Linked DNA regions of Oryctolagus cuniculus. The protein of the gene in region 2 purifies or fractionates together with the protein of the main gene of each other region. This does not show direct contact. Links are inferred from orthologs where the notes say so. Each region holds a gene or a part of one and is shown on either strand. Other genes may lie near its edges.

Evidence for each region.
Region 1: the proteins of SMARCD1 (region 2) and ACTL6A purify together in Homo sapiens (affinity purification with mass spectrometry; 8 studies listed by BioGRID and IntAct, with this or other methods). This does not show direct contact. The link is inferred for Oryctolagus cuniculus from reciprocal best matches to the Homo sapiens genes SMARCD1 and ACTL6A.
Region 3: the proteins of SMARCD1 (region 2) and BICRA purify together in Homo sapiens (affinity purification with mass spectrometry; 5 studies listed by BioGRID and IntAct, counting the BioPlex papers as one, with this or other methods). This does not show direct contact. The link is inferred for Oryctolagus cuniculus from reciprocal best matches to the Homo sapiens genes SMARCD1 and BICRA.
Region 4: the proteins of SMARCD1 (region 2) and DPF2 purify together in Homo sapiens (affinity purification with mass spectrometry; 9 studies listed by BioGRID and IntAct, counting the BioPlex papers as one, with this or other methods). This does not show direct contact. The link is inferred for Oryctolagus cuniculus from reciprocal best matches to the Homo sapiens genes SMARCD1 and DPF2.
Region 5: the proteins of SMARCD1 (region 2) and BCL7B purify together in Homo sapiens (affinity purification with mass spectrometry; 4 studies listed by BioGRID and IntAct, counting the BioPlex papers as one, with this or other methods). This does not show direct contact. The link is inferred for Oryctolagus cuniculus from reciprocal best matches to the Homo sapiens genes SMARCD1 and BCL7B.
Region 6: the proteins of SMARCD1 (region 2) and BCL7C purify together in Homo sapiens (affinity purification with mass spectrometry; 5 studies listed by BioGRID and IntAct, counting the BioPlex papers as one, with this or other methods). This does not show direct contact. The link is inferred for Oryctolagus cuniculus from reciprocal best matches to the Homo sapiens genes SMARCD1 and BCL7C.

Annotation. Positions count from the first base shown.
Region 1 is NC_091435.1:100,246,612-100,251,939, reverse strand, and holds the start of ACTL6A (actin-like protein 6A), read left to right. Parts: upstream 1-2,135; 5' UTR 2,136-2,321; coding exon 2,322-2,346; intron 2,347-5,328.
Region 2 is NC_091442.1:53,421,958-53,426,647, reverse strand, and holds part of SMARCD1 (SWI/SNF-related matrix-associated actin-dependent regulator of chromatin subfamily D member 1), read right to left. Parts: coding exon 4,574-4,690; intron 3,568-4,573; coding exon 3,451-3,567; intron 2,296-3,450; coding exon 2,194-2,295; intron 1,923-2,193; coding exon 1,761-1,922; intron 1,329-1,760; coding exon 1,231-1,328; intron 1-1,230. UniProt on the Homo sapiens protein: Involved in transcriptional activation and repression of select genes by chromatin remodeling (alteration of DNA-nucleosome topology).
Region 3 is NC_091449.1:10,029,322-10,034,011, reverse strand, and holds part of BICRA (BRD4-interacting chromatin-remodeling complex-associated protein), read left to right. Parts: intron 1-1,832; coding exon 1,833-3,809; intron 3,810-4,187; coding exon 4,188-4,364; intron 4,365-4,690. UniProt on the Homo sapiens protein: Component of SWI/SNF chromatin remodeling subcomplex GBAF that carries out key enzymatic activities, changing chromatin structure by altering DNA-histone contacts within a nucleosome in an ATP-dependent manner.
Region 4 is NC_091432.1:6,292,286-6,297,506, forward strand, and holds the start of DPF2 (zinc finger protein ubi-d4), read right to left. Parts: upstream 3,132-5,221; 5' UTR 2,905-3,131; coding exon of another isoform or gene 2,873-2,904; intron 1-2,872. UniProt on the Homo sapiens protein: Plays an active role in transcriptional regulation by binding modified histones H3 and H4. Is a negative regulator of myeloid differentiation of hematopoietic progenitor cells. Might also have a role in the development and maturation of lymphoid cells.
Region 5 is NC_091450.1:50,488,232-50,492,921, reverse strand, and holds part of BCL7B (B-cell CLL/lymphoma 7 protein family member B), read right to left. Parts: exon of another isoform or gene 3,094-4,690; coding exon 2,997-3,093; exon of another isoform or gene 2,993-2,996; intron 1,356-2,992; coding exon 1,185-1,355; intron 1-1,184. UniProt on the Homo sapiens protein: Positive regulator of apoptosis. Plays a role in the Wnt signaling pathway, negatively regulating the expression of Wnt signaling components CTNNB1 and HMGA1.
Region 6 is NC_091450.1:6,278,845-6,283,534, reverse strand, and holds part of BCL7C (B-cell CLL/lymphoma 7 protein family member C), read right to left. Parts: intron 1,188-4,690; coding exon 993-1,187; 3' UTR 1-992. UniProt on the Homo sapiens protein: May play an anti-apoptotic role.

The DNA.
Region 1 (5,328 bases), on a different chromosome or scaffold from region 2:
CATCTTCCACTGTTTTTCCAGGCCATAGCAGAGAGCTGAATTGGAAATGGAGCAGCCAGGACTCAAACCGGTGCCCATCTGGGATGCTGGCACTGCAGGCGGTGGCTTTACCTGCTACACCACAGTGCTGGCCCCTCCAATACCCTTTCAAATGATCAAATGGAGCAAAAACTTTAAACAAAAACACCTCAGTATGATTTTCCAGTATTCTCTTAAACTGCCATTTTCTGTGCTCTTATGGCGCAAATGCCATAAATGAATGAAGCTTGGTTGTGTCCCAAATAAAACTTAGTTTAGGTCACAGAAATGTCAATTTCATCAAATGTTCACATGCCACAAAATAGTCTTAAAAATACTTTTTAAAAACCCATTAAAAAAATGGAATATGCATTCTTAGCTTGAAGGCTGCACAAAAATAGATGGCAGGTAGGATTTGGTCGTAGGGCCATAGCTTGCTGACCTCAGCATTACCTCACCGGGTTGATGGGAGTTTCCTGTTTGATCAGATACACTTGCGATTCTACTGTCAAGTGAACTGGAAAGAGTTTTCTCACAGGCCTTGCTTGGCACCCAACACTTTGTACCACCCCGCAGGCCTGGAGAGGAGGGAGTTCTATTCCATGTTCCTATGGCTAGGGGCAGCCCTTACATGCTTAGACTGTAGACTTAAGAAGGGCTGTCACAGGCACAGGCAGCGACGTGAAGGGTTTGAGCCTCTTTATAGATGAAGCTGCTTGCAGCCTGTGAAGAGGCAGTGACAAGTGGTTGCAGTAATCGAGGGGAGAACGACAGTGGGCTGGCCTGGCTGGTGGAAATCATCTACTAAGCAGAGCAGACAGACTGGAGATGTATTTAGGCTTAGATGCTTGCCTGAATGAGCATCGATTAGCTCGTTCAATACCTGTCTCACCAGATAAAAGAAACGGATGACCTATCTAAATGTAGTTGGTACAATGCATCACGTCTTAGCCATGAATAAGCATTTTAAAAAATTGCAGGATCCTTCCCCTGGTGGGAGTTCTGGCGTGCAGAGGCCAGCTGTTTCGGCCTTTGCTGACGCCAGGCAAGGACACGTCCCTGCCTCTCGCTGGACACCTGGGAAAGGCATTGGCCCGTTACCTCCCCGCTGAGTCAAGTGTTTCCTGGTTCAGAGAGGAAGTGGCGTCATTCATGCCTCACTCCTGGCTTCCGGCTTTGATTTTGTAACCTCTGGCCTTTTTTGATCATTGGAATTGTATATCTAAGTCGGCTTGTGACCTGGCGAGGTGGTCACGGGGCTCTCCTGTCTGCCCGCCTGTTGACTGCTTGCTTTATCAATATTGGGGTTCCCAGTTGTGAGGCAGTGGCCGAGGGTGGCATCTGTGGGGAGAACCTGCCAGAGGCCTGCACGCAGGCCCGAGTCTGCCGGTGAACCGCTCTCCCTGCTGAGAAGCCAAACGCCGCTCCTCTGTGTGACTGGCGGCTGAGCCCTCAACTTGCCCTTGACCTCCACGAAGAACTGCGCGCCGTGAGGCTCCCTCCTTGCCGAAGTTCGGATATGAGTTCGTTTTCCTTTGCCAAGGGACCTGCTGGTGATTGGGAAATGCCTGTGTCTGGGGTTAACAATGGTTTCTAAGTGAATAAACGGGCCATTTAATTCTGTAACAAAAAATTAAAAAAAAAAAATTGCAGGAGCCTATTAATTTGTTTGATTCACTGGTTGACCCTACACAAAGTGGAGTACAATTTTATTCAACAAATGTTGGTTGAAAATGCTTTTTTTATGGAAAATCTTTAAAAATCCGTAAATTCACTGCAGTGCAAGGTCAGGAATTACTGCTCGTTGACACTTTATCCTATTTCCATACTTTATCCCATTTCCAGCCTCTTTCCTGAGCCCCTTCCCGCCCCAGGTTCCCACCGCGCCTCGGCGCCTGGTCACACCCCTGGGCCCGCCCCCCGACGCCTGGCTCTCCCGCTCCCTCCGCCCACCCTGCAAGCTCCGCCCCCTGGAGTCCCGCAACCCAACTCCTGCCCTCCTTCCGTCGCTTTCCGCCCAACCCCGCCCCCATGGCCACCTTCGATTGGCTAAACTGGCGGAGCCGCGGCGGGGATGCAGCGAAGCCGCATTATGATTGGCTGAAAGGTAGGCCTCCCTCCTCGTGATTGGCTGCTAAGGGGAGCCAGCAAGTGTGGCTGAGCTCTCGGGTGTGTGGACGCCGCTTTGTTGCCGGAGGGGGGTGGCGGTGGAAGTTAAGGGGGTCGGGGGCCAGCGCGTGTGGCGGCCGCTGTAGTCACTTCGCCCGGCACCTTTTCGCCCAGGAATCAAGCCGACGGCAGCCATGAGCGGCGGCGTGTACGGGGGAGGTGAGTGAAGGCGGCCCGGCCAGAGAGCGCGCCTTTTTGGCGTGTGGGGTTTGTAACCGCCGCCCCCAGCCCTCCCCTACCCGGCGGTCCCTTCCGGTCTCCCCCTCTCGGGACCCCGGCCTCCCCGCCCCATCCCCGCCCCGCGCTCTGCCCGCCCCCGGAGCCCACCCGGCTCAGCGTGCGCCTCGGGCGCCGGAGGAGCTGGGCTTTTGGGGTCGCGCGTGCTGCTTCCAGCGGGCCGGCCCGCGGCGCCCCGGCTGGAGTGTCTCGCCTCGGGGTGGCAGCCCCGCGTGTGTCTGCAAAATTCGCCCGTGTGGGGCTTGCGTCTGCGTTTAACCTGGGAGGCCCCCAGCAGTTGGCGAGCGCGGACGGAGGGTGTCCGCAACGTCCCATAGAAGGCAGAGCGGCCGCGAGAGGTGGACCGAGGGGAGAGGGGGCGGCCGCCTCGGTCTGCGCCCTGCGCTCGCGCTGCCTCACGTTCCTCAGCAGCTCCTGCCCATTCTTGACCGTGGAGTCTGCGGAGTTACTCGTGGGAGGGCCTGGTTGGGATGAATCTAGAGACACATGCAATTTAAGGACGCCCGGAAGCTTTGCCTGAGGTCCCGGGCGTCTGTTCTCTGGCTTTTCTTGAGTAGACTGTGTTGTGGTACAAAGATTACCACGGGCTGTGGGCATCGTCAAACTTCTCAGCGCCTTGGCCTTGGGCAGTTTACTTTCCCCGACTTTGCGCCGCTCGCTCGTGGGATGGGAATTCCTTAGCCAACGAGGGTGGCTGCCAAGATGGACCGACATGAAGCTACACCTGCTGCTCCAATTGAAGTCCGTGGAGCGGCAATATCAGCATCACCTGCAAGCTGTTTAGAAAGAATCTCAAGGCCCACCCTCCGTTCTACAGAGTCAGGGCTTCCATTTTTGAAAGATGCCCCAGACAATTGGAGCACTCACTGTTGGATTCACATTTTGGGGTGTGTTTGAGTTAGAGACCCAAAAGACAAATCCGAAATACAGTCAGCCTTGAGTAACTGTGGGCTCCACATCTGTGGATCCCACTAACTGTGGACCAGAAGTATTCAGAAAAAATTGCATCTGTATTGAACATGTGCAGATTTTGTTTCTTGTTATTCCCTAAAGTATAACAGCTGTTTACATAGTGTTTACATTGTACTAGGGATTATAAGTAACATAGAGAACACCTACTTAAAGTATCCAGTAGTCTGTGCCACAGGTTATAGGCAAATGCTACATCGGTTTATATAGTCGACTTGAGTATCCAAGGATTTTGGTGTATGGGGGTAGGGTCCTGTAACCAATCCGCTGCAAACACTGAGGGACTATGTGCTTGCTACTGCTACTGTTTTAGTAAGGATTCTCTTTCTGAAGAGGATGGCATTCCGCAGGTAAAGGGATAGGTAACTTTTCTAAGTTCTTAGTATTTTTGGTGGTGTAGTTTCAGAGTCTTCTCTGAGGCAGCATGCTGAGCCTGTTGCCTCCTCCTTCCTATTTTGTGTCCTTGATTTTCTTATTTTTACTTTGGATCTTGTTAATTCACCTCTTCCCCATCTGAAGATTCAGTCTTGACTCCAGAGAAACTGAGTCTAGACTCTTAGGAGCTCCAGGTTCATTGAATCAAGGATCCGGAGGCTGTCCAGTATTCCTTACAAGGCATTGTTTAGTATGACTGGTAGGAATGGGATAATACTAATGCTAGCAGCTAGCATTTATTAGGTGCGTACTGGAGACCAAGAGTATTCCAAAGGTTTTATGTGCATTATTTTTAATCCATGCAGTAACTCCTATAATCTACAACCACCATGTAAGATGGTATTATTATCCCTGTGTTACTGAAGAAAATGATGTAAAGATAGGAAAGGTTAAAAATCAGCCCAAAGTCATAATTATCTAGGGAGTTGAGAGCAAAAATCTCTGAAATAAAGGGCATTTCAGCCAAGCCCTTCCCTACTCCTTTAAAAAAGCCATTTCTTTGGTTATTTCTCTGTGTGTCATGTTTCAGTTATACAACCATAGTATTACCATGTATGACTTAGGTGTTCAGAATAAAACCACTTCTTGCTAGCTTATTCAGAGGAGTGTAAGGATTATTCAGAAAGTTTATGGAAAATGGAGTTGAATGTTTATTTTAGTGTGAACATTTTTGGAATTTAATCAAGAAAGCTTATGAAAAAACATGGATTTCAAAAATTTTTGCACCAAAATACTTAGTTTTTAATTCATTTTCCATGAACTTTTTGAAGTACTCTGATGTTTTAAAGTCTTTCATGTAGAAAGTACTTAGAATTCACAAAAGTAAGTATGATTTTGTGTTTATAGTGGATCATATTTTTCCAAGGAATTTAGTGTTAAAAGCAACCAAACCATTCACTTAAAAATGTTGAGTAATTGGGCCGGTGCTGTGGCATAGTGAGTAAAGCCACCGCCTGCAGTGCCGGCATCCCATGTGGGTGCCGGTTCGAGTCCTGGCTGCTCCATTTCTGATCCAGCTCTCTGCTGTGGCCTGGGAAAGCAGGAGCTTCTTCCAGGTTTCTGACATGGGTGCAGGGGCCCAAGGACTTGGGCCATCTTCTACTGCTTTCTCAGGCCATAGCAGAGAGCTGGATAGGAAGTGGAGCAGCCGCGTCTCGAACCGGCACCCATATGGGATGCCGGCGCTTCAGGACAAGGTGTTAACCCGCTGCACCACCGTGCTGGCCCCCTTTATAAATTTTAAAATTTATGCTTGCCTCTAATTCTAATAATTATTTCCAAGCAAATCTAAAACTGACCTTCAGCTTTAGGTATAATGCATGATTCATCTGGATTTCCATCCTTTCTAAGTAGTTTCTGGGCCTACTTATTGCTCTTGCAATTATCTTCCATGGCACTTCTCTACTTTAAACTCCTTTGCATAACAAAAATAAATGTGTACTACCAGACCAACTTTGATAAATTGTTAGTTTCATCACTCTTGTACTATCCATCTCTCTC
Region 2 (4,690 bases):
CTGACCCAGTTCCAGCTGGCGAGGCCATTTGGGGAACGAACCAGCAGACGGAAGACATCTCTCCCTCACTCCCTGTTCTCTGTAACTCCACCTTTGAAACAAACACAACTTTAAAAAAAAAAAAAAAAAAACCCTCTTATTTATTTTGAAAGTTAGAGTCACAGAGGGAGGGAGACAGAAAGAGACCTTTTATCAGCTGGCTCAGTCCTCAGATGACTGCAACAGCCAGCACTGGGCTAGGCTGGAGCCAGGAGCTTCACCTGGGTCTCCACATAGGTAGCAGGGGCCCAAACACTTGGGTCATCTTTCTCAGAACACTGGCAGGGAGCTGGATCGGAAGTGGGGCAGCCGGGACTCGAATCAGCGTCCATATGAGATGCTGGTGTCACAGGAGGTAGCTTTATCCACCTAGCCACAGCGCCAGCCCCAACCTTTGACGCTGAAAATAATGTGTACACACACACACATCCCTAACTTTAAGCACGGGAATACAGGACAGACCAGCTCCAGTGCCAACTTATAGGGTATAGGAACTGCTACCAGGTGAGTGATGGTTCAGGCCCCTGACTGGATAGAATCTGCAGCAAAGCGAGGAAGGCAAGACGATAACTACAGAGAGACGCTGTCTAACTACAGAGAGACGCTGTCTAACTACAGAGAAATGCTGCTCTGAGGAGGAAGTACTCTTCTTCACTCCGTATCTGCCTAGAAGTGCCTCGCTCTCTAACTTGGGAACAAGAAAAGTGAACAGAAGGGATGGAGTTCGAGCTCCAGCTGGAAGCCCTAGGACGGACCCAGGAGAAATGGCTGCTGATCCCTCCCATCAGCACTGAGCCAACAGATGCTGAGGTCCCCCGAAGGAGGGCTGGGGAAGGACCTGGCCCGTCACATCTGCTCGTTCCTGTGGCTTGAACATCCTCAACGTGGCTGGCTTCCAGCTACCACGATACAGCAGTGCTCAGGGAATCAGGAAGGGATGTGCACTAACACACCATCACACAGGACTCCTACCACAGACCCAACAGAGGCACACACACCCGAGAGCACAACACCAATAAAATATAGTCAATTAGGACGTGCAAGTTTGCAGTATACATTACCCTTGCTGTCAATGCGTTCAATTGTATTTATATAGCTTAATGTTAAACATCAGCTCTGTTTAACAAGCTGCCTTCAAAACCCCCAAACAGCTGACAGCTGGCCCATGCAGGCTGGTAGGACACCGCTTACCTAATGACATGGTTAATGATGATGGGCTCCGGTGGCATGAGCAAGGCGTGGAGCCGCTGAGGGATCTCTGAAAACTTCATACGCTGAGACTCAAAGATCTGTGGGATAGTGGAGAAGCTGCTAGAAGTTGGTTTTTTTTTTTTTTTTTTTTTTTTTTTGAAGATTTCTTTTATCTACTTGGAAGGCAGAGGCACAGAGAGGCAAGGTCTTTGTATCTGCTGGCTCAGCTCTGTCTGCAACGGCTGGGGGTGGGGCCAGGCCAAAGTCAGGAGAATGGAAATCCATCTGGGTCTCCCTTATGAGTACAGGGGCCAAGCACTTGGGCCATCTCCCGCTGCTTGCCCAGGCGCGTTAGCAGGAAGCTGGGTTGGAAGCAGAGCAGCTGAGATTGGAACTGGTACCCAGACGGAAATATGGGGTTGCAGGCAGCGCTTTAACGCACTGCGCTATGACACTGGCTGCAAAGTTGGCGTTTTAAGATTACTGAAAGCTCTGGTGAATCCTAGCAAGAGAACAGCTCCTCTCCTTACCTGCTGGAGGTACTTGTCACAGATGACAAACTCCCGCTCGTGCGGGTCCTGGAGCTTGTGTGTCTTGATATACTGCCACAGTGCCTGGATGATCACTGGACGGGTCTGGGTGTGGATGCCCAATAGCCGAGCCAGGCGAGGGTCCAATTTAAACTGGGGAGGCTGTGGAAAACCAGAGAGTAGAGAGAACAGAGCTGGTAACTCGGGCCTAGGTGCACCGTGTGGGGGAGGGGGCTCCCATGCACACACTTGGTGGCATGTCCAAGTATCTAACAGCCACGTGGTGCTCTCTCGCGCGGAGGAACCCGGAGACGACGACGCTAGTCCTGTACTAAAGTGCAAATGTTTTCACGCTCAAACTTAAGCCCTTCAAAGTCGGGGGCTCAGAGGATATGGCTGTGCAAGCCGGGGTCCCTCCCACCTCACAGGGTACCTGATAATCCAGCATCAGCAGAACCGTACACCGTACATTCACGTCGCCAGGCCGCTTCACCTGGAAGCCATCGGTCTCCTGGGTGGTGGCGGTCCTGTGCCACTACAGAGAGGAAGGTGTCAGGGGGTGCTCTCCCAGAGGAAGAGCTGGGAGGGGCGGGAGGGAAGAGCTGCTATAGTGACTGACGGCTCAACTCTGGCACTGAGGCTGCTGGAGAGGTGCATTTTTAAAAGTGCACACGGCTTTGGGACTACGACGTGCTCCTGTGCATACGTGGGTCACACCTCTAATTGGGACTCTTTGGGGTTGCGTGAAAAGTGGCCACAAGTGCCAGCGGCAATTTTAGGCACACAAAGTGGGCACCACAGACGTGAACAGTAACACAGCACCAGCTATTGTTCTCTCGGTACCTACTATGTGCCAGAGCAGTCTAAGGCATGGACCTGGATCACCTCGTTTCATTCCCCAACAGCCAGACAAGACATACCCACTCGACAGCCGAGAAAGCTAGTGCCCGGAAGAAGGAAAGGACCTTGCCTGGGTCAAACAGCACGTGACAGGGCTGCAGCCTGCGCTCTGTCTGGTTCCACAGCCACTACACTCTATGCTATAAAAGGACGTGTATTTACGAATCTCTACCGAGTCTACGACTTACTTCCCTCATTAGGTGCCAAAGACCTTCCCATGTCTCTTAGGGGCTGCGGCTACACTGGCAAAGAAAGGAGCAGGTTAGGTTCACTCGGCATGCTGGGCTCTCGTTCTGCCTTTAACTGCGTCTCAAAGAATACTGTTAGGTTTGAGGGACACCGTGGCAATGCAATACGCCATTGTGAAAAAAGGGGGTTCTGGTGATTTTGTATGCAAATTTAATGAAGCAGGTACCAAAAGGGAGCCCCAGAACTACGATGGCAACCTCAGCAAGTTCGAGTACCCTCTCAGTCAGTCACTTTAAACGCAGCAACTGCTACGAGGGGAAAATTAAGAAGGGTGTATGGATTCACTACGACTCGCCATTGTCAGCAGGCAAGATGCAGAGAAGGCCTGGCCTGTAGGAGAGGCCTCCCCGTGAAAGGTGGGCCGGTAACGTGACAAGCGCACCTGGGTGCAAACTAAGACTGCTAGCGCCCCCTGGAGGCTACTGTGCAAACTGTAGCGGCGGTCCTGGCCACCTGGGGCAGCTCTCTCCTTTGCACCTTCTCCTCTCCAGGGACCTCAAGGTCTGGCTCCAGGTCACAGAAAGCAGGTGGAACCACTTACTTCTACCAGGTGGTTGTCTGGCCCATACAGATCTTTGTCCAGTTCGATCACCAAGGACTTGAAAAAGGAAGAGAACTTCCTCTTTTGTTTGGTGGCGTCATATTTGGACAAGGCTGACTGGAGAAAGAGAGGAAAAGCTGAAGTTAGAATAAAGGGCAGAAGAAGCTCCCCAAGACAAAGTCCTACCAAAAAGGAACCCACAACAACCGAAAAAAAAAAAAAAAAACAACACACACAACTCAAAAATGTTTTCTGAGTATCTTAGGAGATGGGAAGGTAGGCATTCATGGGTATTACACCAGACATGGTAGCAACAGACACCCTGAAGCAACAGCCTGTCACACTGACTCACCCCTGGGGAAAGTTCAGACGAACCCCTGCACGTAGCACAGTGAGTAAGAACAGAGAAAAGCCCGACTTAGAGGGAAAGGGAATCAGCTGTATGTGGACACAATGACACCACCAGCAGCTGGGCTGGACCTACGTACACAAGACGGAGGCTCTAAGCCCTGACTCTCCATCGAAAGTGCATTCAAATTAGCTTGCCTGCGAGCAGCTAAAAATAGCCAGCCAGCAGCTCGGAGGGGAGTGAGAAGAAAGGTGAGCTTCTCCCAAGGAGCTGCTGGGGTGGGCGGTCTGGGGGCTGCTAGCTGATGCTCCCCGGGAAGCAACCGAGAGGCTGCCAGGGAAATCTACCCCGCGGGGTGTCTCCAATCAGAGTCGGGAAGATGGAGGGGGGCCACAGTGGGGATCAAGGACCTCGGGACTCAGAGGAAACATGGCTTCCAATGCTAAGTACAAAAAAAAAAAAACCCAAAAAACAAAAAACAAACCCACACAACAGAACCATCTGCAGATACTGCTAAATCCAACGGTCAGCAGCACCAGGAGGAAGGTAAACAACAAATCAGATCCCAGGACAATAAGGTTCTCCATTCGACCCCCGTGAGGGCCAGAGCTGTAGGAGCCAGATACAAAGAACCATTGTCTCTCAGCGCAGGGCACAGAGCGTCCCTCTCACAGGGGCTGTGAGCAGCAGCCGGGCGTCCTGCGACCAGAGAGCACTGCTCCGTTCCCAGCAACTCCCACCCTGGACGCCGACCACGGTGGACCTTGAACTCACGTCCTCCAGGAGCCGTCCTTCTACCCGAAGCTCCCAGGAAGCCACCGTGCCTTCCCCGTCCTCGGCATCTGACTTAGCCGGGTTGAAAGTGTTCGAAATGAAAATTCGCAGCTTCCG
Region 3 (4,690 bases), on a different chromosome or scaffold from region 2:
GAGGTCCCTGCTGGGAGGAGGGCCACGTGGAGTAGAGGCGGGACAGTGGCTGCCAGGCCACGCGGGCTGCACAGGCGAGAGCAGAGGTGAGGACTCTGGGCCAAGGTGGGCGAGGCCGGCCCCAGTCAGTCCCAGAGCAGCAGCCGAGGGCCCACAGGGCAGTGTGGGAGTCGTGGCAGGTGCCCGCTCTGGGGCTCCCAGGGACCGAGGCCTCCTACTCCCCCACCCCACCGGCTGTGGCCTTGATGGTGGCTGTGATGTTAACTTTCCAGTGGCACAATGTTTAAATCCAGAAACACAGCAGCAAGGGGGCCGCGTCTGTAAGCCAGCGACAGTGACACTTCCGCAGGGCTGCCGCTGGCCATCCTCCATCGTCGCTCTCACTCCTTCCTGGCTGTGAGGCCCCCATGGGTTCTGAGTGCGGCCACGCCTGGGGGCAGTGCATTGCAGAACCGGTCCTAGGCGCTCTGCTCGCACTGGGAGCCCCGAGGGCACAGCGCCCTGCCTGGCCTGCAGTCGGCTGGGAGTCGCTCCCCTGTCCCCCTGCCCTGTCCCGCTCGCCTCTCCCTCTGCTGCTGTGCCACATAGTCTCCGCCCGCCTCCTTGGGTGGCGATGATGACAGTGGGGTAGCAGAGGACGCTTCGTATGCACCTGCTCGGGGCTGGGCACCACAGCCTGCCATGTGGGTTGATTTGGAATCTTTTTTGTTTTATTACATCAAACTGGTTTTACATTTTTAATTTATTTTCATTCTTTTTATCTGAAAGATAGAGAGAGAAGCAGAGAGAAAGAGAAATCTTTCATTGGCTGGTTCACTCCCCAAATGTTCACAACAGTCAGAGCTGGGCCAGGCTGAAGCCAGGAGCCCAGAACGTGGGACGTGGCTGGCAGGGACCCAAGTACTTGGGCTGTCACCTGCTGCCTCCCAGGGTGCACATTAGCAGGGAGCTGGGTTGGACGCAGAGTAACCAGGCGCTCCCATATGGGATTTGGGTGTCCCAAGTGGCAACTTAAGCCACCATGTAAAACGCCCACCCAGAACTTGAGATTCACGTCCCACAAGCAGACACCACTGCGGAGCTTTGCATGATATACATTCTTTTTATTTTTTAAAGATTTATTTATTTATTTATTTGAGAGGCAGAGAGAGAGGTCTTCCATCCACTGGTTCAGTCTCTCAAATGGCTGCATCAGCCAGGGCCGGGCCCTGCCAAAGGCAGGAACACAGAACTCCATCCGGGTCTCCCACGCGGGTCTGACGCCTTCCCAGGCCACTAGCAGGGAACTGGGTCAGAAGCAGAGCAGCCGGGATTGGAGCTGGCACTGGGATGTGCATCCCAGGCGGTGGCTTAACCTGTCCCCGAGCACCAGCCCCGCTGCCCGAGTTCATACACGCGTGCGATGTCACACACAGTGCACGCTGGAAACGTCATAGCTCCTCGGACCGCTGTGGGGCCAGGCGTGCATCAGAGCTGGAATCACTGAGATTCTGGACAGGGGCTGCGGTGCGTGTGCGTGTGCCACGGTCAGACGTAGGAAGAGGCACGTGACTCGGGCACGCCGTGAGGCCGGTGGGTTCCAGGGTTCTTCTGGGATTTGGAATCCCAGATGCGTGGTGCGGGCTGGTACAGCTTAGCAAAAAAACCTGATTTTTTTTTTTTTTAAACCTTTGAGAGGTGCCATAGGGAAACGCAGGCCAGGGCAAGCGGCAGCCAGGCCGGAATGTTCCGGAAACAGCCGCTCTGCCGCCCGGGCATCCCGCCCTGCGGCCCCGGCTGAGCTCCACCCCTTGCTAACCTCCCTCCTTCCTTCCTACCCTCCCCGGCCTCAGCTCCACGTGCAAGAAGCCTCCGGTAACCACCTGAACCCGGAGCCCAGCCAGCCGGCCCCCAGCGTGGACCTGGACTTCCTGGAAGATGACATCCTGGGCTCGCCCGCCGCGGGGGGCGGGGCGGCGGGCGGCGGGGGCGCCGACCAGCCCTGCGACATCCTCCAGCAGAGCCTCCAGGAGGCCAACATCACGGAGCAGACGCTGGAGGCCGAGGCCGAGCTGGACCTGGGCCCCTTTCAGCTGCCCACGCTGCAGCCGGCGGACGGTGGGGCAGGCCCAGCGGGGGCCGCCGGCGCTGCAGCCGTGGCCGCGGGGCCCCAGGCCCTGTTCCCCGGCGGCGCAGACCTGCTGGGGCTGCAGGCCCCGCCCACCGTGCTGACGCACCAGGCCCTGGTGCCGCCCCAGGACGTGGTCAACAAGGCCCTGAGCGTCCAGCCCTTCCTGCAGCCCGTGGGCCTGGGCAACGTGACCCTGCAGCCCATCCCGGGCCTCCAGGGCCTGCCCAACGGCAGCCCCGGGGGTGCCACGGCGGCCACGCTCGGCCTGGCGCCCATCCAGGTGGTCGGCCAGCCGGTCATGGCGCTCAACCCGCCCGCCTCTCAGCTCCTGGCCAAGCAGGTGCCTGTCAGCGGCTACCTGGCCTCGGCGGCCGGCCCCTCGGAGCCGGTGACCTTGGCCTCAGCCGGCGTCTCCCCGCAGGGGGCCGGCCTGGTCATCCAGAAGAGCCTCCCGGCCGCCGTGGCCACCACGCTCAACGGGAACTCCGTGTTTGCGGGCGCGGGCGCGGGCGCCGCCACGGCCGCAGCCGGCGGGGCGCCCTCGGGACAGCCGCTGGCGGTGGCCCCGGGCCTCGGCGCGGCGCCACTGGTCCCGGCACCCAACGTCATCCTGCACCGCACACCCACGCCCATCCAGCCCAAGCCGGCCGGGGTCTTGCCCCCCAAGCTCTACCAGCTGACGCCCAAGCCCTTCGCGCCCGCCGGTGCCACGCTCACCATCCAGGGCGAGCCGGGCGCGCTGCCGCCGCAGCCCAAGGCGCCACAGAACCTGACCTTCATGGCGGCGGGCAAAGCTGGCCAGAACGTGGTGCTGTCCGGCTTCCCCGCGCCGGCCCTGCAGGCCAGCGTGTTCAAGCAACCGCCCGCCACCACGACCGGGGCGGCGCTGCCGCAGCCGCCGGGGGCGCTGAGCAAACCCATGAGCGTGCACCTCCTGAACCAGGGCAGCAGCATCGTCATCCCCGCACAGCACATGCTGCCCGGCCAGAACCAGTTCCTGCTGCCGGGCGCCCCCGCCGCCGTGCAGCTCCCGCAGCCCCTCTCCGCCCTGCCGGCCAACGTGGGCGGGCAGATCCTGGCGGCGGCCGCAGCGCCTCACGCGGGCGGACAGCTCATCGCCAACCCCATCCTCACCAACCAGAACCTGGCGGCCCCGCTGAGCCTGGGCCCCGTGCTGGCCCCGCCCTCGGGCGCGCACAGCGCCGCACACATCCTCTCGGCCGCACCCATCCAGGTGGGGCAGCCCGCGCTCTTCCAGATGCCCGTGTCGCTGGCGGCGGGCAGCCTGCCTACGCAGAGTCAGCCGGCGGCCGCGGGGCCCACCGCCACCACCGTCCTGCAGGGCGTCACCCTGCCCCCCAGCGCCGTGGCCATGCTCAACGCCGCCGATGGGCTGGTGCAGCCCGCCACACCTGCTGCCGCCGCCTCCGGGGAGGCCACCCCAGTCCTCACGGTGCAGCCCGCACCGCCAGCACCGCCCGCAGCCAGCACGCCGCTGCCCCTGGGCCTCCAGCAGCCGCAGGTGCAGCAGTCCCCGCAGGCCACGGCCCCTGCGGCCACCGCCCCGCCTCAGGCCAGCACGCCCCAGCCCAGCCCGGGCCTGGCGTCCAGCCCGGAGAAGATGGTCCTCGGGCAGCCGCCACCTGTAGCCACCACAGCCATCCTCACTCAGGACTCCGTGCAGATGTTCCTGCCCCAGGTACTCGGGGCCCGGGCGAGGGTGAGGGGTGTTGGGAACTGGGAGACCCCAGAGCTGAGAGAGGCTGGCCAGGGTCTGGTGGGGTGGGGCTGACACGTGGCCACCCCTGGCTGAGCTGGACAGACCGCGGGCTGACAGCCACGGGGAGGGATGGGCTGACAGGCGGGGAGGGGTCTCGGAGTGCACAGCAAATGACTGAGTGAACGTGATGGCCAGGTCAGGAAAGCAGGAGGGCCAGGCGGGCTAGGGGTGGGACCAGCCAGCCGGGTCCCGCTGCTGCGCCCGCCACCCCCTGCTCTGCAGCCCTGGGGCAGGGGCGGTGTGGACGGGGTCCCCGGGCGTGGCCTTCTGACCCCTGTGCGGGCTGCCCCGTTGCAGGAGAGGAGCCAGCAGCCTCTCTCCACAGAGGGCCCCCACCTCTCCGTGCCCGCCTCGGTCATAGTCAGCGCCCCGCCTCCTGCCCAAGACCCAGCCCCGGCCACCCCCGTCGCCAAAGGAGCTGGCCTCGGCCCTCAGGCCCCCGACAGCCAGGCTTCCCCGGTGCCGGCCCCCCAGGTAGAGGAACCCCAGCAGCCTCTGTCCTCAGCTCAGCCCCCAGCCTCGCCCCCTTACCCCCTCACTGCTGTCCGCCTCCTCGCGCCCGGCCTGCCTGCCTCTGTCTCGCTGACCTGGGGAAAGGTGCTGTCGTCTCCTACTGCCACCCCCACCCCGCACTGCCTGTGTCTCCTCGCCCCCGGCAGGCAGGGGGAGGGCTCCACACGCTGGACAGGGCTGCAAGACACACAGCAGGAAAGGGGGTCTTCCCTGAGGTGGTGATGTCCACGTCCGGGCAGGGAGCATGCTCGGAGAGTCCACGGGTGGTAGACTAGGTGCGCAGGGAC
Region 4 (5,221 bases), on a different chromosome or scaffold from region 2:
CCAAAAAGAGATTCAATTTGAAATCTGAATTAAGGACAAATCTTTCAGTGTTTTGAAGAACTGGAAAACTGCACAGTGCCAAGAGTTACCTGGTTCTAAAAAGTATGTACATGAAACCAGGGTTCAACCAGCCATTTGGTCATGCAGGGGGAACTAGTAACCCCTAGTTAGTTAATATACCCCCCCCTTTTTTTTTTTTGACAGGCAGAGTGGACAGTGAGAGAGAGACAGAGAAAGGTCTTCCTTTGCCGTTGGTTCACCCTCCAATGGCCGCTGCGGCCGGTGCACCGCGCTGATCCGATGGCAGGAGCCAGGTGCTTCTCCTGGTCTCCCATGGGGTGCAGGGCCCAAGCACTTGGGCCATCCTCCACTGCACTCCCGGGCCACAGCAGAGAGCTGGCCTGGAAGCGGGGCAACCGGGACAAAATCCGGCGCCCCGACCAGGACTAGAACCCGGTATGCCGGCACCGCAAGGCAGAGGATTAGCCTAGTGAGCCGCGGCGCCGGCCAATATATCCCTCTTAAAGTGAGGGCACAGGTGACTTCTCTCCCCAGTCTCCCTAATACCCATGAAAACATCTGCAACACCGTCAATCCGGACTTGGGAATAAAACGGCCTTGCCGGGCTCCAAGTCAGCACGCGAACACGGACACTTAGTCAACCTGCACGAACCCTGCATGGACCTCAGTGTCTCTTCCGCATTTTCGGGAGCTTGCACTCGCTGAGCTCTGACATCCCAGGGACCCACGAGCAGGCAACCCCGGGCGTGAGGAGCTGCACGCGCTACGTCTCCCGGGCTCATGCCCACCTCTGGCGCTACACCAACAAACCCTGCTCTGCAATCGGATGGGGGCTTTCGGTGAGCGGCACAGTGGAGCGTCCCTCATCCCCAGCAGGCAATCGCGGGACGGCATCGCCCAAGCACAGTCCGCCTGGATGCAGGCAAGGACCCTGCGCTGGAGACCTGAGCGGGGCTGGCTCCCATCGCTGGCCGTGAGGAGGCAGCCACGTCCTCCCCACGCAGAGGAAACTGGACAAACAAGGCTCAGTGCAGCGGCTGTTTCTGCTGATGCGACTGACGCTGACGCTGGGAACAGAAGGGTCCGCGGGCCGCAGGGCTCGGGGATGCGTGAGACGCTCTGTCGAGCTCTGGGGACCCTAGGGGACTTCAGAAGCGGGGCAAGCGGCAGTCTTGGGGTAACGGGGCTGGGAAGGACACCGCAGTGGGCACTGTGGGAAGCATCTGACGAGGAGAGCGAGAGATCGGTCTTAGGAACGCAAGGCCGTGTAGCAAGATATCTCACGTAAATTATCCTGCAGCTCTGGTACCTGACTCAGAGAGTTCCCAAACCACTGTTTTGCACCACCGTACTCTCACAGCGAGACCCGAGAGGGGGCGTCCACTCTGCTACCACGGTAGAGACAGAGCACTCACAAAGAGAACACCCTCTCCCCGACGAGCTGCGGGCGGCCCTGACCTTGACGGGGGCTCAGGGACTGCATCTCGGTGCAGGGGCGCGAAGCCTCCTAGGGAAGCCTGCAGCAGTCCCGGCCCCCAGAGAAGCTGGGGTCTCGCTGTCGGCACCCGGAGTCGGCGGCTGATGACCTTCACAATCCCTCCGGTTCTTCCGAGACCTGAAAAGCCAGGCTGCAGCTACGCGGCCGACCCCCTGGCTCAGACGGCGGGCGAAGCCGAGCTGCCAAGGCCAAGGGCATCCTCCCCCTCAGAACCCGGCAAGGCCGCAGCACAGGCTTCCCAGGTAGAAGCTTCAGGAACCGAGCCTAGGTGGGCCCTCCCGGGGGGGGGGGGGTCAACAAAGAGCACGGCGGGCAAACAAAGAGCCCGCGAGTCAGGAAGGCATCAGAGGGAGGGAAACGCCAGCCCAGAGCTGGGGAACCGGCGTGGGCAGATCGCAGAAACCACCGCGTCGGGCGGGGGGCTGGCTCCCAGGGGCAGCAGGACAGAGCAAGAAGCAAGTCAGGAAAAAAAAAACCAAACCACAAGCCAGGGAGAAGGCACTTAGCTTAATGGAACCGGGGAAAGCGCCGCGGGCAGGGGGAGGCGACCTGCTCGGCCACCACAAAGAGGAGACGCGGGGTCCAGAGAGCACGCCCCGCACCTGACCTTGGCGTCCAGCCAGAATCCAAAAAGCCCTAACTGGACGGCCAGACGCGTCCGCGCGGCGGCGACAAGGCCACCCCAGGCTCGCCCACGGGCACCAGCCCGCTTCCCAACGCACCGGACTCTTCCTCGGGGGGCAGGCGGCTGGCTCGTGTCACCAAGTCCCGCAGCATCCCCCAGGTCCCCGACCACCACCCAATTTAGCTCTGCCCGACCCCTGACCCGCACGACGGCTCCGGGTCGCCCGGAGGACGCCCCCCGGCCTGGCCCGCTCGGGCCCCGCTCCCCCTCAACTTCTCTCCCTTCTTCTCCGCGCTGCCTGCGTCCTGCGCACCTGCTACCCCAGCCCCGCAGGGACCGCCGAGCCTGCTGCTCCGGGCCAACGGCCGCGCGTGGCGGGGACTCGCCGGGGCCCCCCGGGGCCTGGGCTCGGCTCCTCCGGGCCGCAGCCTGAGCGCCGCACTCCGCGACCTGCAGGCCCCGCGGCGGCTCCCACACAGCCCCGCACAGCGGCCGCGGGGCAGGGGCTCCCGCGTGCCCCCCGCCCAGGGCCTCCACAAGTTTCCAAAGAGGCGCAACGTCTTCTCCGGAGTCCTCCCCCCCCCCGCGTCGCACTCCCCACCCGGAGCGGCAACCACGGCCTTCCCGGGCCCGTCCCCCCGGCCGCCTCCTCTCTTCCCGCACCGCCCCCTACTCCCAGGCCCCTCACAAGACCTCTCCGCCTGGGAGAGAAAGAAACGACCACTCACAGCTTCACTACATTCTCCACCACCGCCGCCATCTTCCCTGCTCCTCTCCCTCAGGCCGGGAGGGCCCGGAGCCCGCAGCGCGCAGGCGCCGGCGCCGCGGCGGGGCCCCGGGTGCCGCGTCCCTGTGCGCACGCGCCGTGGCTGCTCGCGAGCGCCGGTGCCCCGCCCACCGCGCCGCCGCGCGCGCGCCCTGTCTCTGCGCACGCGCCGCCTGTGCGCGCCGGGGAGCGAGGAGCTCCGGGCCTCTGGGCGGGGGGCGCCCGGCCTTCGGGTTTAGCGCAGCGAGGGAGCGCTCGGGCCGGTGCAGGACCGAGACGGCAGAGGCTGGCGGAAGCCGGGAGGCCCAGAGACGGGCTGGACGTATCCTGGCTCCTCGCCGACCTTTGTGGCTTCGGTTAACGCTTTTACCGCACGGGTGCGGTGCGGTGCGGTGCGGTGCGGTGCGGGCGGCGGGAGGTGAGAGGGGCGCGCCGCACCTCCGGCCCCCTAAGCGCGGGCAGCCTCGGTGCTAGCTGGCGGCCGGGTCTCTCCTCCACCCGGCTGAATGGCGACTCGGGCCCCAGCGGAGCCCTGGAATCAGCTCCCGACGGAGTCGCCCAGGGTCGACCCCAGCAGACTGAGAGACCTGCTCTGTGTCCTGGTGGGCTTCTTGATCGGTCCCTGCTTTTCCAGACCCTGCCCCGGCCGCCTCCCGCGCTCAGGCGCCCCCGGCCCAGCGCCCCAGGCTTCGTCCTTGCCCCTCGCAGCGCCAGTTCCAAGATGCGCCTGGGGCCTGCCCCCACGTGTTAGCATTTCCGAGTGAGGCCGTGTCTTCCGTCCCTGCGATTCAGGACGGTGCCTGCCTGGTCGGAGTCGAGAGGAACTGGCCGTTGCTTACCCTGCACCGCACCTGAGTTTGAGTGGTGTCGCAGTGTGGAAGGGAAGCCGGCACGATCCTGTTACCCAGAGGACTGCGGGGCCCCGGGGGTCAGAGCTCCCCATGCTAACCTCCTGCACCCTAGGAGGTTAGAAGAGCTCGCTTGGGTCCCTGCCACCCACAGGGCAGATCTGGCCTGGGTCCTGGGCTGCTGCTTGCCAGCCCGGGCTGTGGCCGGCACCCGGGACGTGAACCAGCGATGGAAGATCTCTGTCTCTCTGTCCTCCCCCTCTCCGCCTTTCAAGTAAAATTGAATGCATAGTTTGCGAAAGTTCGCCAGCACTAAGCATCCGAGTGCACCTGCCCTATGATCCAGCAAGCCCCTCCCTCTATGAGAACGAGGGATTACCACATCACGAACGAATCTCCAGCACTTAATATCGATCCAGAGAGGCCAGATGCACGAGAACACACTGTACGGGCTCATTTACGTCAAGTTACACAACAGACTCATTATCGCGAGAGGGCAGGAGAGGGGACAGGAGCTGGCACTGGGGGGCGAGGACTGTTATACATCCCCCCTGTTCTCTTTGTAACCGGCAACACGAGACCTGTGCATTTCTCTGTATGTGTTTCAATGAAAAGTTTAAATTTAAAAACAGCAGGGGGCCGGGGCTGTGGCATAGCAGGTAAAGCTACCGCCTACAGTGCTGGCATCTTGGCTGCCCCACTTCCAATCCAGCCCTCTGCTGTGGCCTGGGAAAGCAGTGGAAGATGGCCCAAGTCCTTGGGCCCCTGCACCTGCGTGGGAGACCCAGAAGAAGCTCCAGGCTCTGGCTTCGGATCGGTGCAGCTCCAGCCATTTTGGCCAGTTGGGGAGTGAACCAGCGGATGGAAGACCTCTCTCTCTCTGTAACTCTGCCTTTCAAATAAATAAATAAATCTTTTTTTTTTTTTTTTTGACAGGCAGAGTGGACAGTGAGAGAGAGAGAGACAGAGAGAAAGGTCTTCCTTTTTTTTTGCCGTTGGTTCACCCTCCAATGGCCGCCGCGGCCGGCGCACTGCGGCCGGCGCACTGCGCTGATCCAATGGCAGGAGCCAGGAGCCAGGTGCTTTTCCTGGTCTCCCATGGGGTGCAGGGCCCAAGCACCTGGGCCATCCTCCACTGCACTCCCTGGCCACAGCAGAGAGCTGGCCTGGAAGAGGGGCAACCGGGACAGAATCCGGCGCCTCGACCGGGACTAGAACCCGGTGTGCCGGCGCCGCAAGGCGGAGGATTAGCCTAGTGAGCCGCGGCGCCGGCTCATAAATAAATCTTTAAAAATAATCAGCAACAACAGTAACACTAGGTAAGCTAGCTGCAAATAGTTGGGAAGGCAGCTCACAGGCCCAGCACCAGCAGTCTCCGATCTTCCAGAAATGCAACACCGAGCGGCAGCTGCTCCGCGCGCTCTGGGCGAGAGCGCCGCGGCGCCGGGGTCTCTCCTGCGCAC
Region 5 (4,690 bases), on a different chromosome or scaffold from region 2:
GCCTCCACTTGCTCTCTGTCTCAGGGTGTCTGAGAGGTCACCCAGGCTCCACAGCGCCTGCGCCTCGCTCGAGCCGCATGCTTCCTCCTGCCTCTCCGGACGGGGTAGTCAGTCCTTCCTCAACACGCCCACGTGCAGGGCACTGGGTGTCTGCTGCAGAGGCTGGGATACCGGCATTCTACATCAGAGTGCCTGGGTTCCAGTCCTGGTTCTGGTTCTGAACCCAGCTTCCTGCTACTGAACACCCTCTTGACACCCATGTCGGGGTCCTGGATGGAGTTCCTGGCTGCTGGCTTCCTCCTGGCCCAGTCCCAGGTATTATAGGCATTTGGGGAGTGAATCCATGGATGGAAGTTTTCTTTTTTTTTTTTGTTTTAAGGATTTATTTTATTTGAAAGGCAGAATGACACAGAGGGCAAGACAGAGAGAGGAAGAAGTCTTCCATCTGCTGATTCACTCCCCAGATGGCCGCAACAACCAGGACCAGAGCAGGCCGAAGCCAGGAGCCAGGAGCTTCTTCCAGGTCTCACATGGGTGCAGGGGTCCAGGTACTTGGGCCATCTTCTGCTGCTTTCCCAAGTGCGTCAGTGGGAGCAGGACTGGAAGTGGGGCAGCCAGGACTGAAATGCACTGATCCGGGATGCTGGTGTCACAAGCAGTGGCCTAACCTGCAGTGCCACAACACTGGCCCCTTTCTGCTTTTCAAGTTGAAAAAAAAAAAAAAATGTTTTTGGCTGGTGCCGCGGCTCACTAGGCTAAATCCTCCGCCTTGCGGCGCTGGCACACCAGGTTCTAGTCCCGGTCGGGCGCCGGATTCTGTCCTGGTTGCCCCCCCTTCCAGGCCAGCTCTCTGCTGTGGCCTGGGAGTGCAGTGGAGGATGGCCCAAGTGCTTGGGCCCTGCACCCCGTGGGAGACCAGGAAAAGCACCTGGCTCCTGCCATCGGATCAGCGCAGTGCGCTGGCAGCAGCGTGCCAGCCACGGCGGCCATTGGAGGGTGAACCAACGGCAAAAGGAAGACCTTTCTCTCTGTCTCTCTCTCTCACTGTCCACTCTGCCTGTCAAAAAAAAAAAAAAGTTTTTGTAACTATGCCAAGCTGTTACCAAATGGCTTGATGGTGCCAGGCCGTGGGGTGCTCCCCTAACCCCTTCCTCCAAAGAAGACAATCGTGAAGGCAGACTCACCCTCGAGGATCTCCTGGCCCAGCGTGGGGGGCTGGGAGTCGTCTGTGCGGAAGTCCGAGGTGTGTGCTGGGCTCAGAGACTCGCTCTGCTGGGGGCTGGGGCTCGAGTTGGTGCTGCTGTCCACCTTCAGCTGGTAGACGTCAGACGCCGAACTCTGGTTGCTGTTTTCATCTGAAACCAAGCACAGCGAAGGCGACAGCTCGGGCAGCTGTCCTCAACAGGACTCAGGACACCCGGCGTCTCCACAGCACAGGGCTCCTGTGCCCTGCAGGCTGGCTGCAGGCTCCCGCGGATTCACTTCGGCATTTCTGTACCCCGAGCACAGAGGCAGCTGGAATCCTGATGCAACCTGCGCACTTCGGGAAGCTCGGGATCCTTCAGCACCCAGCTGCAGCCTGGACTGGGGTTTCTCACTGCCCAGGGCAGAGGTGCAGCTGCGCCTCTGGTCAGTACCTGCCCATCTCCCTCCTGCCACAGATGTGCAGGAAATGACCCATCTGTCTGGAGCTGGTACCTGCAGGGGCTCAGCTCAGGCCCTTCAAGCCAACTGCCCCCGGGGCCAAAGGACTGCCATCCGCCAGCTCTGTCTGACGGCCCAACACGACCACCTAAGATAACAACATAGAGCAAGCCCTGCCTCCAGCACCCAGGCACCAAGTGAGCTCCATGCTCCCGCCATGAAACCACTTGTGCTCACGCCTGGCTCTCCTGCAGCCCCGGCCTGGGCTGCAGCATCTCCGAGCAGGCCTGCTGGCCAGTCTCCGGTCTGGCCTGCCCCAGGGCTCACGGCTCCACACTGCTCCACTGCACAGATGGAGGGGCTTCCTGAGACTTCCCAGGATAAGCCCCACACGCCAGCACCTCTCGTGGCCTCCCCGCCTTTCTCCCCGCCTCACACTCCCCAGGCAGGAACAGCTTTCTCTTTCCAGTCTTCCTGGAGAGCCCTGCACGTTCCGACATCCAGCTCCAGCATCGCTCCCTGCGCGGGGCCCTGCCTCCCTGCTCCCCCGAGCTCCTGTCATACCCTGCGCACACCTGCGTCTTTCCACTGCACCCCGTGCGGGCAGGCTCGGACACGCCGTCCTTGGCTGCCCAGAGCACGCAGCACCTGCTCACTACTGGATGAAACCACACGGAGGAAACAGAGCCGCACATCTCCCAGAGCTTTGCGACTACTGAATGTCCCCCACACAGCTACAGAGCGGCCTCCCTCCCTTCTGGTCTCCCGAAGCTGCGGTGACCTTGCTGGGGCCAGGAGCACAGGTGTGGAGCGGGCAGCTGCAGCCCGGGTTCACCTGTCTCACGCTGGGCGCGCTCTAGTCTTGCTACTCCTGAGTCCATTATCGTCCACACCAGCGCGGAAGCAGCGTTCCGCAGGTCAAGGAGCTTCCCCACCTGGGCGTCTCAGCACTGTCTGGCTCACGGCTCAGGCTGACATTGGAATGAAAACAAGACGCTGGAGCGACAGCGCCACACGAGCAGTAACCGCCGCCTGACACGCGCAGGGCTTAGGCTGACGGCGGACTTGGCCGCTGCTCTAAGGCACTGCCATTAAACACTCAGCATACAGAAAGCACCTGTGATTCAGAAACCCGGGCCCTACGCAAGGCGGGGTCTGCACTTCCGATGATGTCACTTTAAGGACGTTCTCAATGGGACCCCGCCTCGCAGTCACGGGGGAGCGCTATGTGAAAGACCTAAGCGCCCAGCGGAACAGCAGCCACGGAAACGAGACGCACAGTAGCCATGGTCTCGGCAGGGACACCATCTACGTTGTCTGTTTCCTGCAAGGAAGATGGGGATGCGACTCACCCTGGAATTCCAGGAGGAGAGAGGAGTTGGCTGAGGCGTCAGAGGGAAAGCCGTTAGGTTCTCGGGCGGCAGAACTGTTCGATTTTGCCTTTTCTTTCTAGAAAAGGATAAAAAGAGGACTATGACAGAGCCAAGCAGGGGCCGCACGAGGAGGGAGAAGGGTGCTGTCTGCATCAGACTGAGCAGGGATGAGGGCGGGGCAGAGCCCAAGGACCCCAGGGGGACACTTTGGGGCGAGATACTCCGTGTCAAGCCTGTGTCTCCACCTGTGAGACGAACCCTTCTGCACGGATCTCAGCCATCAGAAGTGAGCGGCAGACACACACGCCTCCACCAGAGCCCCCCCACCCCCACCCCGCTCCGCTCATGCTCTCCTGCCCTGAGCAACACGCTCCAACCAACCCTTTCCTACGTGCATGGGCCAGAAACACTCAGGTGGGAGAGACGCCCGGTTCAGTAGCACCACAGGGAACAAGTGAGGGAACAGCACTCAGATTAGGCGGGACGAACCATCGCTGTGCGTGTGACGCGGGCAGACAGGACGGGGTGGCCCTGCCGGCTCCGCTGCTCACCACCAGCCTCATGCGTTCTGCCCCTGCCCTCCCTGTCATGTCACTGCTTTCAAGGAGGTTAAGTTATGGGTGTGGGGACCAGGATGGAGGGAAGCACTAGCTTGCAACCAGCAAGTCCAGGGCAAAGAAAAGAAGACAGTCAATCCAAGCATTCGCAGTTGAGAGCCTTCCAGAAGTGCAAAGGTCACAGCTGGGCAGCCCCGCACCGGCCAGTCCACACCTGTACAGTGGAGGAAGTGCGCTCAGACACGACTCAGCTTGGTTAAAAACTCAGTCCTAGCACCCTGTCACAAATCACCCCTGCCATGCAGTCATGGGTCTCCTTCCCGCATTTTCCACATGCGGATATTATTCTAATGTCATTGCAAACACGGAACCATTTTAGCACGTTCCATACACATGATTGTTACAGTTGCATAATGTTCCACAAACCATAATTCACTTAATTACTTCCCAAATATGGCACATTTACTTTTTAAAAAAATTTATTTATTTGAAAGGCAGAGTTAGAGAGAGGTAGAGAGGTACAGAGGTAGAAAGAGAGAAAGAGAGAGAAAGGGAAGGAAGGAGGGAGAGGGAGAGAGAAGTCTTTCATTCACGGGTTCACTCCCCAAATGGTCGGAGCTGGGCCAACCTGAAGCCAGGAGCTTCCTCCAGGTCTCCTACACAGGTGCAGGGGCCCAAGGACTTGGGCCATCTCCACTGCTTTCCCAGGCCACAGCAGAGAGCCGGATCGGAAGTGGAGCAGCCGGGACTAGAACTGGCGCCCACGTGGGATGCTGGCTCTGCAGGTGGTGGCTTTACCCGCTACCCCACAGTGCTGGCCCCAGTACATTTAAGACTGGGGAGAGGGCAGCATTATGGTGTTCCTGGCATCCCCGCATCGGAGCACTGGCACATCTCACCCTGACGGGATCACCGTCACTCGTTCTCTTGCCCAGCAGACCCACGATGGGGGACGCCACTGCCATGGACTGCTGGGGGCACATGCACCTCAGTAACCAACACTGGACTTGCGAAGCCCTCAGAGAAAGAAAGGGGACCAAGTCTTGGGCAGGGGCTGCCTGGCGCCTTCCTTGCCCCACACATGCACACTGCCTGACCTTGGGCAGCAGGGGAAAA
Region 6 (4,690 bases), on a different chromosome or scaffold from region 2:
ACAGAGATACGGTGAGGGTTAAGTAATTCCCGTAAATCACAACGCCTGACACACAGTAAGCCCTCAACAAACAGGACACGTTTCTATCTCTGAGCATGACTCGCCCACTAGTGAAGTCGGGAAGCGGGAGGTGGGTGAAAGCCCTTTGGAACCACCGAATGGCTCATTCGCCCCGGTGGAGATTTCCAGGTAGGCTGGGCTGGCTCAGGGCTGCGCCACAAGTCTCTCCCCTCCACATGGGTCCCGGGTGCGAAATGGGGATCTGGGCTCAAAGGCCTCTTGCCTGCGGGGGTTGTCAGGTTGCCTGGTGAGGTTGGCACCTGGTGTTAAGTTCCTGATGCACGCGCTCTGGCCCTGGAGGTCACCCGGTCCACACGCCTATTAGCGAGGCCCACCTGCGAAGGGGCTACGGAGACACGCCGCACGGGGCCTCGCGCATGCGCGGGCCTAGACGCACGCGCGGACCTCGACGCATGCGCAGGCCTCGACGCATGCCTGGGCGTCCGCAAAGGCCTTGTCGGTGTCGTGAGGTGATGCAGGCAGCTCGAGGTCAGCATTTTCTGCACCCTTGCGCTGTGGAAACCTTCCGCCAGTGCGGACCCTGTGGTGTTGCGCTGACAGGACTCGGCCCTCTCGCGCGGGTGGAGGACGCTGCGGCACGGCGCGCATCCTCAGCGCTTGCGGTGGGCAAGGCAGCCTGGTGTCCCTGCTCCCCTGCGCTGGAGGCGCGGGAAACCTCGCAGCGAGGCAGTCAGGGTGTGGTCCGAGTTCGTCTCCGAGGCCTTCCCACACTTTGCGGGCGCCGGCGGGCCTGCTGTCTGCGAGAGCCAGTGGCGAGCGGGGTGGGTGCTGTGACCGTAGTGGGTTCTAGGCAGCCGCAGAGCCGCTCGCCCGGGGCGTTCCCGCGGTGGGTGTGGAGCCGAAGGCCCGTTCCGCCCTGGGGCATGGCAGGTGGCCGGATCTTGGGGCCTCTGCTTGCCTGGGGAGCCCGCTCACCTCCCTTTCCCCTGGGGGATCGTCCTTGGCGCCCTGGGGGCCTTGCTTCCTCCCCCGGGAGCTCGGGTATCGGGCACCGAAGTGGGCCGAGCGTTTGTCCGCAGGCCCCGCCGGGGCAGGAGCCTCCTGAGGGGCTCAGGCTTCAGGCCCTTCTCATGGAGGGCTCTCCTTGTCATTCTCACTCCCGAATCCTGCAGGGAGAAAGAAAACCGGGGTAGTGTTTCCTCTCCTCATGCCGCCCAAGGCTTGGAAGACCTTGCCTTGGGAGTCCTCAGTGGGGCAGCGCGGTGGCAGGGCTTTGGCAAGTGACTGAGTTTTTGTATTTCTGACAAGGCTGAGACAGCACCGCGTGGGGTTACCTGTAGGGGCTCCGTGAATGATAACAGAGCTAGTCTTCAATCCCAGTTCCCACCACATTTCATTGCAGTGTAATTTTTGGGTAATCTACATAATTCTCTTGTAATCTGTTTATTCGTTTATAAAAGGAAGATACTGGGAAGGATCGTCAGCGTGGTCGCTGAGTCTGCAGACCAGCAGGGTGCAGCAGTAGTATGTTCCATTGGAAAGATCAGTGTCAACTTTTATCTTTAAAAAGTTTCCAGCTCTCACCAAGTGAGGTCCAGTACTTTCACTCCTCTACTAGCACTCATGCATATCCCCAGTACCCAGATATTGGTACCTAAATATACTTACCATTAAAAAAGTTAGGAGTCCTTGGAGGGTAGCTGATTTCTTTTTTTTTTTTTTTTTTTTTTTTTTTTTTTTATTTATTTGAGAGGCTGAGAGGGGCAGACATTTCAGAATTGCTGGTTCACTCCCCCAAATGCCTGCAATGACCCTGGCCTGGAGCCAAGATACAATCCAGATCTCCCACATGGGTGGTAGGAAACCAATTCCTTGAGCCATCACCACTTCCTTCCAGGGTCTGAATTAGCAGGAAGCTGAACTAGGAGCCAGGAGTGGAACCCAGGCACCCTGATAGAGGACATGAGCATCTTTTTCTTTTCTTTTAAAGATTTATTTATTTGAAATACAACATTACTGAGAGACAGGGAGAAACAAATCTTCCATCTGCTGGTTCACTCCCCAGATGGCTGCAGCGGCTGGGGCTGGGCCAGGCTGAAGCCAGGAACTCCATCTGAGTCTCCCATGCCGGTGGCAGGGGCCCAAGGACTTGGGCCATCTTCCACTGTCTTCCCAGGTGCATTAGTAGGGAGCTGGATTGGAAGCGGAGCATCTGGGACTCAAATAAATGCACTCATATGGGATGCCAGCACTGTAGACAGCAGCTTAACCTGCTGTGACACAGGCCCCTGTGATGTGCACATGTTAACCAGCATCTTAACTGTTAGGCTACACGCCTACTACTGATTTAATTTCTTGAGACAAGAAGATTCAGAGATGGGTCTGCCTCATCCTCTTGATACCAGAAAGGAAGGATATTTTCAGGGGTAGTGCTACAAAGATGAAAAATGGACTACCACTGTCTGAGCGGGCACAGGCTGAGCCCCTTACCATATATAACAGTCATGCTCAGGCAATGAGAATGCTGTGAGTCCATAAGCCACTAAGAAGTCGAAAGTTACTTTCTACAGAAAGGCAGAAAGAAAAGGGATGACAATAAGGCATATATAATTTTAATAATTGTTAAAAATAGAGTATTGATGTGTTGATATTTTTTTCTTCATTTCTGTCTGTGCAAGGAGGAAAGAATAGAGTCAGAAAATCGAGTCTGGTACCCTGCGACAAAAAAGGACTCTACCGGACTGGATGAATACATAATCAGGTAGAAGGAGACTCTGTACTTTGTTCTGAGATGATGAATTACCCATGGATCCTAATGATAATTAACTTAAACATACTTACTACTTTGTCTCCTAAGAAAACAGTACTCGAAACTTGGGAAGTTTAAAAAACATACTAATTTTCAGGTCCCATCACAAGGGCTCCCCAGATTTCTATAAGAGGTTAATTTTCAGAATATATATTTAAAACTACAACTCAACAACAACGACCCCATTTTTAAAAATGGCAAAGCAGTTGAATAGACATTTAACCAAAGAAGATACATAAGAAGATGCTCAAAATCACCAGTTATTAGGAAAATTCAAATCAAGAGCATGATGATACCGCCTCATGCCAAGCTGGATGGCTACTACCAAGAAACCAGAAAATAATGAGTGTTGGTGAAGATGTGAAGAAACTTAAGCCCTTTATTGGTGGCAATGTAAAGTGGTGTAACTGCAGTGGAAAACAGTATGGCAGGTTCATCAAAAAGATGTAGCAATTCCACCTGCTATGTATATACACAAAAGAATGGAAAGTAAGATTTTAAAGGTTTATTTAAACACCCATCTTCTTTTTTTTGTTTTGTTTTGTTTTTTTTTGTTTTGTTTTGACAGGCAGAGTGGACAGTGAGAGAGAGAGAGAGAGACAGAGAGAAAGGTCTTCCTTTTGCCGTTGGTTCACCCTCCAATGGCCGCCACAGCCGGCCGGCGCACCGCGCCGATCTGAAGCCAGGAGCCAGGTGCTTCTCCTGGTCTCCCATGGGGTGCAGGGCTCAAGTACTTGGGCCATCCTCCACTGCACTCCCGGGCCACAGCAGAGAGCTGGCCTGGAAGAGGGGCAACCGGGACAGAATCCGGCACCCTGACTGGGACTAGAACCCGGTGTGCTGGCGCCGCAAGGCGGAGGATTAGCCTAAGGAGCCGCGGCGCTGGCCCAACACCCATCTTCATAATAGCATTATTCACAGTTGTCCAGGAATGGAAGAAACCCAAGCATCCATTGGCAGATGAGTGTAGTATTTACATTGAAGGCAACATTCAGCTGTGAAACGGAAGGAAATTCTGACCCATGCTTCAACATGGATCAACCTCGGGGATCTGTTATGTGAAATAAGCCCATCACAAAAGAACAAATACTATATTATTCCGCTTATGTGAGGTACATAGAGCACTTTGATTCATGGAGACAGAAATTGGAATGGTGGCCAGAGGTTGCCAAGACTGGCCGGGGAGGGGAATATGAAGAGTTTTTGTTGAATGTGTATAGTTTAAGTTTCACAAGATGAGTGAAAATTCTGGAGATAGATGGTGCATGGAAGTACATAATGCTGCTGAACTGTACAATTAAAATAGTTAAAATGGTAAATTTTATGTGTATTTTTCCACAAATACAAAAAAAAGGCAAAACTGGTGTCTGGTGTAGCAGTTAAGACAACCACATTCTATATTTGAGTATGTGAGTTGGAGTCCCAGCTCCAGTCTAGATTCTAGCACCCTGCTAATGTTTACCCTTGTGACAGCAAGTGACGGCTCAAGTACTTGGGTGCCTGCCAGTCACATTCAGACACCTATTCTGCCTTCACCTGGGTGTAGCCAGCATTTGGGGAATGAACCAGTGCATGTGAGCTTTATCTGTCTGGCTCTTAAATGAAAATAAGATAATACAATATACACTGGATATTCCTTAGTAATGAATATCTAGTGTATTCAGATTTTGAGTTGTCACATAAATGTCATAAATTTGTTTACTTGAATCAGAATTCAGTAAGATCCATTTGTTTGATTTTTCTTAAAAGATTTATTTATTTGAAGCCGGCGCCGTGGCTCAATAGGCTAATCCTCCACCTTGCGGCGCCGGCACACCGGGTTCTAGTCCCGGTTGGGGCGCCGGATTCTGTCCCGGTTGC